Linked DNA regions of Bombyx mori. The protein of the gene in region 2 interacts with the protein of the main gene of each other region in a pairwise test. Links are inferred from orthologs where the notes say so. Each region holds a gene or a part of one and is shown on either strand. Other genes may lie near its edges. The genes, in order: Golgi phosphoprotein 3 homolog sauron, 14-3-3zeta and slowpoke-binding protein.

Region 1 (4,124 bases), about 2.8 Mb from region 2:
CCTTAATGGTAACGACATTATTATTGCAAATTATTTATAAACAATCAGCTTTACTGTTGTTAATTGGCAGGTGTGTATTGAAGTAGCTGGTTTTAATAATAAAGGGTTTTAAATAACTAAATATCAAAACATTATTATTTGACTTACCTTTTTAACTAAACGGCACTTAACGACATTATCTGTGAGAGGGTGTGTCGTCATGTCAAATAAAAGAAAATTTTGTTTTTCTGTTGTTAAAACCCCTTTCTCAACCAGATTTTTAGCCAATCTTTCGCGTACGTTCTTTAACTGGTATTTCAGTTTCATTGGATTCCATGTTTCACCTAAAAATATTGTCCATCTACATCTTTAAAACTCATTTCCATATATTTTCATATAAATAGGCCACGGCCAAACAGTGAAGTATAATTTCTTTTATGAGGTGGCTATTGATAATAAAGCAAATAAATGTAATATATAAGAATTTAAACACTTTTCCCCACCTATTCGCTGGTAGCCTAAGGTGCCATTCCAGCTTCTGGCAGAAGAGATGTTAAGGTGCCAGAAATTATGCTTGAATTTTGATCAGTAGGCAAACCCTAGTAAATATCCTTGCCTTGGAAAGCAATTGCGCCAAGCCAATTTGTTGTAAAATAAAATTAAATCTGTTATTCTATTTAAAAAGATTTATTGTTTTATTTTGAATAATTTTTAGGAGTTTTAATCTATTCAACATTTAATTTAACCACTTATTGGTATTATACTAAAATCTACTGCCAAGTTTCTAAACCTGCCTAGAGCTAAAATCTCTTAGAAATATTGACTAACATAAACCATAGTTTTTTCTCAAGATTATAACATACTTATTTCCAATTCTCAAAAACTGTGAAATTGGATCTATTGCCCTCCAAAACACAAAGTTACAATTCCTGATAAAATTGCATAACTTAATTTTCACAACACATAAACTCTAAGCTCTTGGTAAATGTCATATTTGTTGCACAACTGTAACATTTGAAATCATAAATATTTACATACCACTCAGATATTCAATCCAGCTTTGTACTGTTTCTGGAGGGTCAGTATCTTTCATATGTTTCAGAGCTTCATCTAGCAGAACATCACCGGTTAAAGTATCTAAAATGTTTTTATTTTATTTTGTTACAATGTAATTTAAGAAGAGCTTGTTGATAGTGAAATAATTAATTTTGTTTGCTTATTAGAATTTGAAATTGCTTTAGAGTATCTTGCACAACAAGTTTCAAGAACCATTATAAATTATTATGTGTAAATGTATCAAGGTTAATAAATAAATTATTATTATTAATTATTATTATTATTTTTAAATAATTTGCTTCTAAATATAAAAGAAAATTAAATATTGACTATTTCTACGAAAATATTTTATCAATAAAATAATGTTTGCTAATGTATTTTTTAAATGTTATCAAAATTAATTTCAATTCAAGCTGATACTTTAGTTCTTTTATAGTTAATTATTGATAGCTTGTTTTTTTAAATAATTAGTAAGATTGTTTATTTTCGTCTGTCACAAAAAATCCCCTGTTAGTTCATCATTATCTGCTCACCATATACTAAGAATAATAGATGGTTTTGAGGTTGTGTAAGTGTGAAAGATTACAATTTTTTTTTAAACATTGAGGACTACTCAACATCCTTATGGCTCATTTGATGTTATGTGGTTGCTATTTAGTCTAAGTCTTATAGCTTATAAATTTTAATTTCTAGAAAATATATTATGTAAACAAAACTTAGGATGTAGTGATTAATTTTTCAGACAATTTTCAAATTTCAATATTTGTAATTTGGATGAAAGAAAATTAAATTGTCAACTTTTTTACTATATTTATACTAGGTTAAAGAAATGCATTTTCTGGAACAAAAAGGATATTCTATGTGAGAAAATATAGCTTTAATCAATTTAGCATTAATAGTACCTTTAGCTTCAGTGTTGATCAGTTGTTAATGAGTACTTTAGAATATTCAAAATTTTATCGTCACTTTTAAAACAGATATATGGGTTTGTTAATTAAACTTGAGCAGTAGTCACCTACCTGACTTTACAATCACTTTTCTAGACAACAAGCCTTTCCTACGCATTCCAGCTCGCTCCAGTTCAAGTCGTCCTCTTAAGCCCAGTTCAATTAGAATGCATCCTCTTAGACCACTGGATATGCAGTCATTCCAAAATGATGTATAACCCTGAAACGGTAGAAGATGAGCATGTCACGATCTTTAGACTGCTGGAATGCCATTGTATTTATCAGATCAGTTAGTCATGTAAATATTCACCTCTTTATCCTTTAACCCTAACAGTAACACTTCTTCCATTAATGTCAATTTAGTTTCCTTGGAATCTCCGTCATCATAATTTTTATCATTTTTCTTATCATCGTTGTCGTGATTTTCTTTCTGTCCGTCTGTGTTACTCTCCTTTATAACATTTCTTCGTTGCACTAAACCCTCAGTACGGTTCATATTCTCATTAAGTTATATTTTAAAATGCTAAAACTAATTAATTTCACAAGAAAGAACTATATTTATATCGAAAAATTGTAAATGAATGGTCAAGTTGACGTTTACGTTGCGACGTGATGTTGTTGTCGAAAACATGGCCGACTATACGTTCCTTTTCACCAGAACCATTCAGTGTGTAATTTTATGCATCTTTGCAAATATTATTCAAATCATTTCGATTGATTGATTTACTAGCAATGTGTCGAATTAAATGAATTTGAATACCTTTTAGAAATTTTCATGTATTTGTATACTGCACTTGCAAGCTACAATACTAAGAAAGAACTCAACTCGGATAGCCAGAAATTGAGTACAATCTCGAGTATCCAAAGAAGTCGAGTACCAAGCTGAGTACTTGGGCTGCGACTTATTTTACTTTATTGTAATTTACATTGAATTTACTTTCAAATCTTCAATACCTAAAGCTTCCTAAAGGGTTCAGAGTGATGCTACTATACTGTTGTACAAACCCCACAGAGAGGTATTATTTTAACGAGTTTTTATGTGCTTGGTGTGTACATATGTATCTTTGAAAGTGACTTTCACTCAGTTTAAAGCTTTGGATTTAATTTAAATTCGTATAGTTATCGAGAATCGATGGCAATAGAGTAAATTAATAAAATTTTCCCATTATCGTGATCAGGTTCTTCAGTATTAACGACAGTACGGACAATTAAAAGACAGTTGTGCCACTTACTATGCATCGCAGCGCCTGCTGTCTTCTTTGGATATTCTAGCAGATTCCTTTTCCGGAATCTAAAATTAATTTCACGTTAAAACCCCAGTAGTCACAGAAACTATCATCAGATAGAAGAACTTGATTTGACAGGAGGTGTGGGACTGTGATGGTGTTGCATTGGATGAAATGGTTAGATTACGAAATATATTGTAGAAGGATATAATAACCTGTTTTCACATAATAATATATTGCACTAAAAAGGTGATGCTTCGTTACTAAAAATAAATGCTTAATAGTTTAAGAAACATTTTATCTCTCCCCAAGATATCTATTTTGATGAAAGACCGATTATGTGGAAGAAATAATCTCATACTATAGTTTATTGGAGAATATATTTGATGTAGTTTCATGTGAATAGATTAATTTAATCTCGGCTAATTCCTCAGAGAATCTGCAGAGACTTTCGTAACTTACATTAAGCGATGCAGTTTATAAATTCAGAGATCGTAACACAGTCCCCGATATCCAAATTTTTGAAATTCTGACACCATCTTCTGCATGTACGCAAACGTACTTAAGCTATATCTGGTGTTTAGAAGTCGCGACCCAGTTACACCCAGTTTAGCCGAGGTTAAACATGTCGATAAAGTACAAATTTTTGACCAGGCGCAAAGTACAGAAAAAAGATAAGATCACTTTGTGGTTCGTCTGTATATTTTTTACCAATGATCAAAATTCGATCATGATCATTGAAATCCAAAAATTTTTTTTTTTTTCATTTTTTTTTTTGATATAGTCATTTTGAAAACAAAAAAGAGACTATTTTTAAATATTATACATAAAATTGTGAACACTAAATGTCGTTCATGGCATCTCCACAAAAAACAAAGAAAAAAGCGGAGGAGAAAGGTTAAATATTCTATATTTA
Region 2 (4,382 bases):
TAATTATGACGAAATCGCCTTTATCGAAAATACGGCTTTTACTAGTCCTTATATTATTTAATATTAGTTTTTTTCACTTTGAAGACCAGCCAATAATAGGAAGTATTTTCATCTCATTATTCCTTAGCTGGAGTCTCCATGTTCGTACCGTAATCAATACGTATTGATCGCAGAATATAATTATTTTCTTAATAAATATTTAAAATTGTATATTACAATGTGAAGATAATAATAATTTTGCCAGCGTGAAAGGTCTGTTAAGTGGCATAAGCACCAGAGAGAAGGGGTGCCGGGTGTTTAAGCCCTCCACTAAACACGACGAGCCACGACTAATGCAAAGAGTATAACATAAAGAAGGAATGGCCTACGTAGTGATATGTCCGCTGCACTCCTATTGGGTCATCCAACTATAGTGTTTCAGATCAATGCGTATTCATTAACATCTTCACGATGAAAAAATAGCATAGTGAAATAAAGTCAAACCCGCAATAAATTGTTGCTACGAGCTAGCTTTTAAGATATAATTATGGACAGTATTAAATTAAACACTTACACTTACTTTCTATATTATCGCGTTCGTTTGTGCTTATAAGCTCCCACGGTTTTAGAACGATCAAACCCTTTAAACGTTACAATTTCTTTAAATAGTAAGGGGCTTCGATTATCATTTGTAGTTCGCGTGGGCTCCATTAGAATGCCGTTGGTCAGTTTTGGTTGCGCTATTTGTTAGTGGGCTCAATGAATTTGGCCCCCTTTTTTTTATTTTCAGATTTTTTTTATTTTTAATTATTTGTTCGTTAATGTTCGAATGTAATGCTAGTTAGATATAAAATAATTAATAATTGGGAATTTAATTGTTTTTATGATTGAACAATCACCAATAGTCGTCGAACAAACGATAATTGATCAAAATTAATTAATCTAAGCGATAAAAATAAAGATATCTAGTAAGGAGGGGCAACTTAAGGGTGATCATTTGTTTAATTAATCATAAATAAATAAAAGACGAACAAAAAATTTTTACATTCGAACATTAACGAACAAACGACAAACAAATAACTAAAAATAAAAATAAAACAAAAATAAAAAAGGGGGCCAAATTCATTGACCCTTGTTAGTGCCATACAAGAAATAGCTGTCGCTGTCAATTTTTTTCTTGCCCTTGTAGGCAAACGAGCATACGGCTCCTCAGATGGTGAATGATTACCGTCGCTCATGGAAGTCAACAAAGGCTTTTGTAAGAAGAACCAAGCTGCTGCCTAAAAGAAATGTTGTTGGGCTAAACTTTCCTTATGGTCCGTCGATTTGGAAGTTCACAATTTTTTTGTAGATAGTACTCATAAATAGAAAGATTTCTGTAAAATTTCAAGTTGCGGAAACTCACGGTTTACAAGATACATTTTTATAGTTTCTATATAAATTGGAAAAATCAAGGTAAACCTCAAAGTTGACGTTTCACGTTCCATTTACGGTAAACGTGTATGTACTATATTAAATTTTATGTCATGTTTTTTACCGAAATATATTTTATTATTTTATATTCTATATAATTGATATAATATTTTAATATATAAGAATAAATAGCAATGCTATTTTAATCTAAAATTTTACTAAGGATATCTTCATGTCCATGAGGGATCTGCAGGTTGATGATGGTACAGGGGGTAACCCCGCGCAAAATTGATGGACCATAATGTAAATTTTAATCCTATTTTTACTAATTAGTGCTATTCTAACCTCAAAACATTAACCATGAATATCTCCGTAACCATGGGGTTCCGCGGGGTGGGGATGGTGCAGAGGGTAAACCCCTTACCCTCTCCCTCCCCCACTCTCACCCCGACCCAATAATCGACGGACCATAAAGGATAGTTTAACCCTGTACAAGTTAGTGACTGGCTGGTGTGCCAGAGTGTTCTTCTCTTAAGATTTTTATTATCTAGGATAACTTTATTTGTAGTACCTAACAATTCAAATTTAGCACAGTAAACAAGATAGTCCAAACAAAAATGTAAGCAAAACCTACACTTGAGTTTAAAATGAAGTATTGATAATTGGCAAGTAATTTTGCAGTATTATGTACAAATCATTCCTGACCTTAGTAAAAAAAACGTAATGCTTAACATAATTTATTGTGATTAAATAAAATAGTTATGTCTCTTCCATTATTTCGTCTACAAGTACATTTTCTTGATGATCATCATTCTCTGCCTGTTCTTCATCACTTGGAGAATCATTGTCTATATGGATACCTTTTCCTTTTGTCCAGTGACATTTAATCACTAACTTAAAATCTGCCATTTCTATGCCTATCAATTTTAATATACTTGCTTGTTCTGGGGTCAGTGGAGCACCTTTCTTGCAAACCTAAAAAATCAAAACGAATTTGCCATTATTACTTACACCACAGTAACTAAAACTTCAGCCTACATTATGTTTCGATAATGTCAACACTTTGAGGTATTAAGTAACACATAACTAATTACAAAATTTTGAAATTAAGTAAAATGTTGTGCTTGACTGCTGTACAACATATAATGTCTGTATTTTGGTAATTCTTATAGATTTTGGAGTTGTTGAGGCCGAAAGGGTTACAACCCCAGTGTGGATACTGTACGATAATCGGAAACGCTCGTCACAATGGCTGAGCCCTGGAGACCCAGCCAAATCCTGCCCTAAACGGAAATTGAATCAGAAAAAGTCACTTGTAAGTGTTTGGTGGACTAGCGCCGGTTTCTTTTACTACAACTTGATGATTTTTTAAATTCATATATGTTTCAAGTCTATTGATTCATTCACTTTAATCGATGTTTTTAAGCAGGTCTCTCACTATGAACACAAATGTTACCTATTAAAATAACTAAATATTAGTGAATACTATGTGTTTCACATTACCTGATATTCTTTTATTAGATTGATAACACCTTTTTCTAGAGATGTAGGTAAGCCCAAACGTCTTAAATGTGGCTCAATAGTGTGTGAAAAATCTGCTAGAGGACCTTTGGGTAATAAAACATCTTTTGTTGCAATGAAGCCAGCTCTTGCATATTCTGATGCTTGATAACTTTTAAACCAGTTCAGTACATCAGGCACATCTCTATTTGTCATTAGCAATCCACACTGACCTTTTAATTTTTTTGATAACTGTAACATAAATTAACTTTATTTAAAACATTTAATGCGCTAAATGATAGAAGTTTATTATTGCTGGATGTCACAAAAATCCAATAGCTTTACTTTTAACTCTTACTGTCTTTATTAATTTTCAATATTGAAGTGCTTGAAGACATTATTTAGACAGGATGCCATTTTCTAAGACAAATTAGTAGTTTCTCTCTCAAATTATACTTATAAATTGTTCACAATTTAATAATTTATGTTCTCCAGATATAAGATGATGAAATAAGTAAGTCAAAGTCAAAGTCTTCTAAAATATTTTGTTGATGATAGATATCCAGTCTTCACAATTCAGCTTTACTCAAAACTAAATTAAGCTACATACACTCACCAGATTTAGTTGCTCTTCTATTTCATCACTCTTGGTCTTACCAAGAGCAATAGCCATTACTTTATTTTTTCCAAAAAAGAATCTGGAATCCTTCCAATCATTCCGTAGGTCCTTTAATTTTGTATTTCTCATGTTATTGATGGTAAACAAAAATATGTGTTCATATTTGCTCAGTGAATTTCTTATTTCTTCTATGACTTTTTGTTTGTGTACTAAACCTTTTTTGTTGGTTTTTGTAAGTGATACTGAAATCAAATATTTAAGGTATGATATACTGATTTTTTTCACTGAAATTGTAATAATTATTATATTTATATGATTGTAATTCAAATGGTTAAAAATGATTTATTTGCTTAAGTACTCGCTTACTTTCATTTCAAGGCAGAAAATGAAAAGGATTTTGCGAAGGCTATTATGATACTGATCATTACTTGAAACTTGGATGTTTTGTTTCACATGTGCATGATACTGCATGGAAAGCTGTTTATATTTTAATCACCTTTACAGGCTGTTCACTATCTTCTGGGAGTTTTAGAAAAGAGAATAGACTTTCCTAGCACACCTAACCCCTTTTTGGTGACAATTTTAAGGTTAGAACGATTTTTTGTAGTGTCGCATTCGTAAATTAAATCTACGGAATACAATCTATTTTGACATCCAAATAATGCCATAGGGTACCAAATTTAACCCTAAGTTCTGTGATTGCCACTCTGCTAAAGTATGATTTTAAAAAGTCACTTACCTTTCTTATCCCTTTTTGATTTCGGCATATTTGTTTTATTATTTTATTATGGAAAAGACAAAATTTACAATTTAATTAGTTCTGCAATTTCAAAAATCACGTGCACTGGATTTGTTGATTTGTTGTAAATTA
Region 3 (4,451 bases), on a different chromosome or scaffold from region 2:
TTAGTTTAAGTATTTTTTTTGGGAAACTTTATTCACCTATTATAAATTCTATATTACCTTGGCGAAGCTGTCGGTTCTGATGGAGATGATTTACCAGAGCCCGTGCCAATAAGGGATTTGTTGAACAGCAATTTCGCCAGGGAGTCTATCTTCTGTGCCACGAGAGGTGCACGCTCAGAATTCTCTTCTAAAAGTACAATAAAATAGACACTTCAATTTTTTATTATTATTTTAGGCAACTATATATAATATATTTAAGTTTTTATAATTATTCCTGTGGCGTGATAATGATAACTATTTAAACAGAGACAAACGAAACTTAGCGCATCCGATCTAAATAGTTACAGTTGTAAATGGACAACAGCAATAAAACAGACTTTACACTCCACTTAGATTTACTTATCTAGGTCCCTTAATCAACGTCTTAAGGTTTGAAGAAATCTTAATTCTTGTATTTAGTTCTCAAGTAAAATTTCGAAAATTTCCCTAAAATTTTATAAATTTTCCTTACTTTTTGGGATTTTCTGCGGTACATTGTCTATACATATGTTGTACTTTTTATTATTCGCATATTGTTAATAATAAAAAGCCAGGCATAAAATTAGAAAATAAGCAACATCGTATCGTAAAAAATTAAATTTAAGATCACATTATCGTAAATTTTTCCAGGGGAGTGTGACTCTTCTGTGAATCGGTTGTAGAAATTATTTTAACATTACGTTCCATGGCCATGGAAAAAATTGTGTTACTATATCCCAATTGAAATATATGATTTTGAAATCGAATAGTGCACGTTGCCCAAAACACGTCATTGCGGATCCTCCCGATCCACTAACGTTGCTTTTAGGTACCTAAAGCACCGGTCATCATTCTCGTCGAACCCGTCGCTTACGACGAAGGGTTCGACGAGTAAATCAACCCACAGATACAGCCCACCGAATTTCTCGCCGGATCTTCTCAGTGGGTCGCGTTGCCGATTCGGTGGTATATTCTGCGAAGCACGGCTCTTGGTAGGGTTTGTGTTAGCAACATCATCAGGTTTGAGCGCCGTGAGCTCACCTACTAGCTCGGCCAATCTAGAATAACCCCTCGAGGTTACTAGAACAGGTAGGGAAAAAAAGCAGTCAGCAGAGGTGTGTAGGTCTGAAGTTCATTATCAAAATAAATTACGTAGATAGGTACTTGAACTACAAGCGCACGAGGATGCCTCTCCTTCTTGCTTTCGGCCTTCGTCCGTGAGCGAAACAAAAAAAAATACAGGAAAATCAAACAGAAGTTTACCAAACACCTTTCTAATTAAACTTCTGAATTTTTCATACGCACCAACAATTTATAAATAGTTGAGAGAAAAATCAGGTTCGAACCTTTTACTGGTTTCATTTTAATAAATGATCAGAAAGAGATAAATTTGTGTATGTGCAAAATTCCTATTGCTACTTATCTCTAGTCTACAACACCTAATGCAATTACCAATATACGCCGGGCATTACGCATGCACATTGATATGTTCAATGCGTTTAGTGCGAATTTTTTAACGTTCTCGACACCGTAAAAGTTAAATAAAATTTGTATGGATTTGGAACGTTTGTCTACGTTTGCCGCTAGGAGCGCTGTTTCAACTGCATACCAATTTGAGTTACTTTTACGCTATCGAGAAAGTAAAAAACTCACACTAAGCACACAGTTCACTCAAATGACATGAAGATATTGTAAAGTTATAACAGTTTCGAAACTCATTTTATGTGGCAGTTATAGAAAATAGTATTCGTTTGTGGGGGTTAATTTGCAAAAAACAGCTGACGCAACAGGGGTAAAGCGTTTTGGACTCTCAATGAATGAATATTAGCATTCAATTTCAATTTGAAACATCTAAGTAGAAGTTATTTGCCTACTATAGAAAAAGATTTGCATCTGCAAACCTAATACTTCTGAAATCAGATTGTAGATTGTAAATTTGACTGCAACAATGTTTTAATTACTTTCAGTCAGACACATTTTAATGATTGTATAATAATAGTTATTTTTTAATGTTCCTTAATTGAAAATACATGATTTAAAAAGGTTTAATTACCTTCACTTTCTTCTCTATCTGTGGACACGGAGCGTATACGAAACGCATTCCTTTTATTAGCAGCCGCAATGGATTCAGGGTTGAGTTCGGCTGCAGATTGGGCCCGTCTACAGGCGCCGCGGCGTTTCTTCTTCCTATAGCTGGTTCTCGGACGTTCTTGATAGAACCTGTCGTGCCCGGTAGTCTCTGGTTCCTTTTGCTCCTTGTCTTCGTTGTTGGACTTCATGTGTTGGTATAGATTGAACATTTTGTTAGACTTCTTTCGTAAGAACGCTTTCAAACTCCAAAATTTGCTTCTCATCAATTTCGTTATTATTATTTTTTAAATGCCAATAATTCCAATATCAACACACCATCTTAGTTCAAATAGATGAAACGCTAAATGCTACGTCACGAATTTCGCTTTAATCCAGATACGCTTGAATTAAGGACGAGAATCGAAAGACGTGTGCATCGCAGACCGCAATTCGCTCGTAACTCATACAAAAGTATGTCAAAAGGAACTAATGGAAGCCCCTGTAATGCCGCATTATCCGCGAGCACATCTATGCGTACGATATTCCGATGTCGGTCTTTATGTATGACTTTATATATTTAATCCAATACAATTACGCGACAAGGTAATGTTTTATCGGAAAAAAGGGGAATTATCCACATTCTAGAGAACACAAAGATTAATGCGACCACCACATGCCGGCTTCTCGTATCTGAAAGGTCTTTTCTGCCACTTGTGTTATAATTCTAGAATGAACTCTACAGTACTTCCTTAGAGTTATTTTGGGTAAGCAGCAAGATGGCAGCATGACTTTACTGCTGCTAATGAATACTTTCTTACATTAGACGACCGCAGTGTTCTTCGCCTGTGACATTTAAGAAAACAAAAGTGTATTTTATAAAGTATTTGTATTGTATAAAGGAGCTTAGGTTTGTCTTTTTAGGTTTTTTTCACATAAACTATTGCCAATAAATCTAAAGAGTAAAATTTGCAAACAAACCAAAGTAACTATGGACTTGCACGTTTTAGATCTAAACATTTTGGGGACTTCATTTGAACTCGTCAACAATTGATTTAAACTTCAGCTTAAAAAATTCTAGATCGAATCAGCACGACAAATACTAGAACTTCAAGAGACAGATTATAAAAAGGCCATTCACTTTGAGCCAATGCAAAAACTAGCAATTCGATTAAAACATTCCAGCACGGAGTCCATTCTCTTCGGCATCTAAACAAGCCTCATCTAAGTTTTCTCTCGTGCTCTTCCCATTTCTGGTACATCTCGAAAAACTGCTCCAACAGATAGAAAGTGATGAAGGTGTGAAAAGCCATCCGCAAATAGTACGGTGTGAATCCTCTCCACAAACCAAATATGCCCCTATTCCTCCTTGTGTCCGCCAAAATTTCCTTCTGTGTTACACAATCACTTCTAACTTGGTATCTGTTTGAGAAAATAATGTAAGTTAATTGTTATGTAAATGCATTTATTGTTAAAATTTTACTGAACTCTCCGGGACGACTGTATAGGAAGAGGTCTCGGAGCATCTGGATTAATTATTACTTACTGGTGGTAGGACCTTAAGTAACGACCATTTATCACCAGATGGTGTCTATATGCTCGTTTATCTTAGAAGGTAATAACCAAAGCTAAAAGTTGAAGTAAAAATGGCCGTTTGATGTTTTTGAAAATGTTAATTCATAACAATAATTGCATTTTATATTTAAAAAGAAACATTAGTGGAGAGCACATGGAGCTTGGCCATTTCATCACCCTGTTTAATGCTTTTTTTCTTCTTTTTTTTATGATTGAAGGATTACTAGTAGCCCGGAGGCCTTTCTAGTTTCACCAGAACGTGGACGAGCACGGCCTCAGCTACCAGGGGTGGGATTTGCTAACAGCTACCCGAGCGCCTCCAAAGGAGACCCAACAACTCAAGGGCAGCTGCTTTGCGAATCAATCTATGTTTAGTGCTGCGGATAGGAGGTCACATGCCCGACCCTCATCACGACTGTACTCGATGCGTTCACGAGAACATCTAACCTAGTTTTAATGTGATCTATCGGCAACGAGATGACGGCTGCGATGAAGCTTGATATCATCGACGTGTAGAAATGCAACTCCAAACCTTTAGCCACTTTGTTTTCTTGTAACGCCCTGCGAGTCTGCGTGAAAACGACGTGGAATTATTGAAGAAAAGCAATCATTATAATGTAAATTAAAGGATATCAATTGGCAGGGATGCATTTTGGGCTTTTTAATTCATGCCCTATATTTTTGGCTTCATATCAGACTAGTCTGATGGACTCGCTTCTCACTTGGCATAAAACGGTATCCAATTGGAAAATGCCGCTAATGTATAATTATTTTAACCAATAACTGACTCA

Evidence for each region.
Region 1: the proteins of 14-3-3zeta (region 2) and Golgi phosphoprotein 3 homolog sauron interact in binary tests that used the Drosophila melanogaster proteins (3 or more experiments, as listed by UniProt). The link is inferred for Bombyx mori from reciprocal best matches to the Drosophila melanogaster genes 14-3-3zeta and sau.
Region 3: the proteins of 14-3-3zeta (region 2) and slowpoke-binding protein interact in binary tests that used the Drosophila melanogaster proteins (3 or more experiments, as listed by UniProt). The link is inferred for Bombyx mori from reciprocal best matches to the Drosophila melanogaster genes 14-3-3zeta and Slob.

What each region holds. Positions count from the first base shown.
Region 1 is NC_085111.1:10,440,781-10,444,904, reverse strand, and holds the start of Golgi phosphoprotein 3 homolog sauron, read right to left. Parts: upstream 2,801-4,124; 5' UTR 2,479-2,800; coding exon 2,293-2,478; intron 2,203-2,292; coding exon 2,055-2,202; intron 1,117-2,054; coding exon 1,018-1,116; intron 324-1,017; coding exon 148-323; intron 1-147. UniProt on the Drosophila melanogaster protein: Phosphatidylinositol-4-phosphate-binding protein that links Golgi membranes to the cytoskeleton and may participate in the tensile force required for vesicle budding from the Golgi.
Region 2 is NC_085111.1:7,657,918-7,662,299, forward strand, and holds the start of 14-3-3zeta (14-3-3 protein zeta), read left to right. Parts: upstream 1-1,462; 5' UTR 1,463-1,695; intron 1,696-2,116; exon of another isoform or gene 2,117-2,151; coding exon of another isoform or gene 2,152-2,367; intron 2,368-2,564; 5' UTR 2,565-2,707; intron 2,708-2,895; coding exon of another isoform or gene 2,896-3,144; intron 3,145-3,508; coding exon of another isoform or gene 3,509-3,753; intron 3,754-4,015; 5' UTR 4,016-4,098; intron 4,099-4,250; coding exon of another isoform or gene 4,251-4,278; exon of another isoform or gene 4,279-4,382. Other genes in the region: mRNA turnover protein 4 homolog, read right to left, coding at 2,152-2,367, 2,896-3,144, 3,509-3,753, 4,251-4,278. UniProt on the Drosophila melanogaster protein: Required in Raf-dependent cell proliferation and photoreceptor differentiation during eye development. Acts upstream of Raf and downstream of Ras, and is essential for viability.
Region 3 is NC_085109.1:12,643,721-12,648,171, reverse strand, and holds the start of slowpoke-binding protein, read right to left. Parts: upstream 2,812-4,451; 5' UTR 2,373-2,811; coding exon 2,072-2,372; intron 188-2,071; coding exon 58-187; intron 1-57. Other genes in the region: mitochondrial 2-oxoglutarate/malate carrier protein, read right to left, coding at 3,306-3,507, 4,108-4,229. UniProt on the Drosophila melanogaster protein: Regulator of calcium-activated channel Slo. Increases or decreases the voltage sensitivity of Slo, depending on the absence or presence of 14-3-3-zeta in the complex, respectively.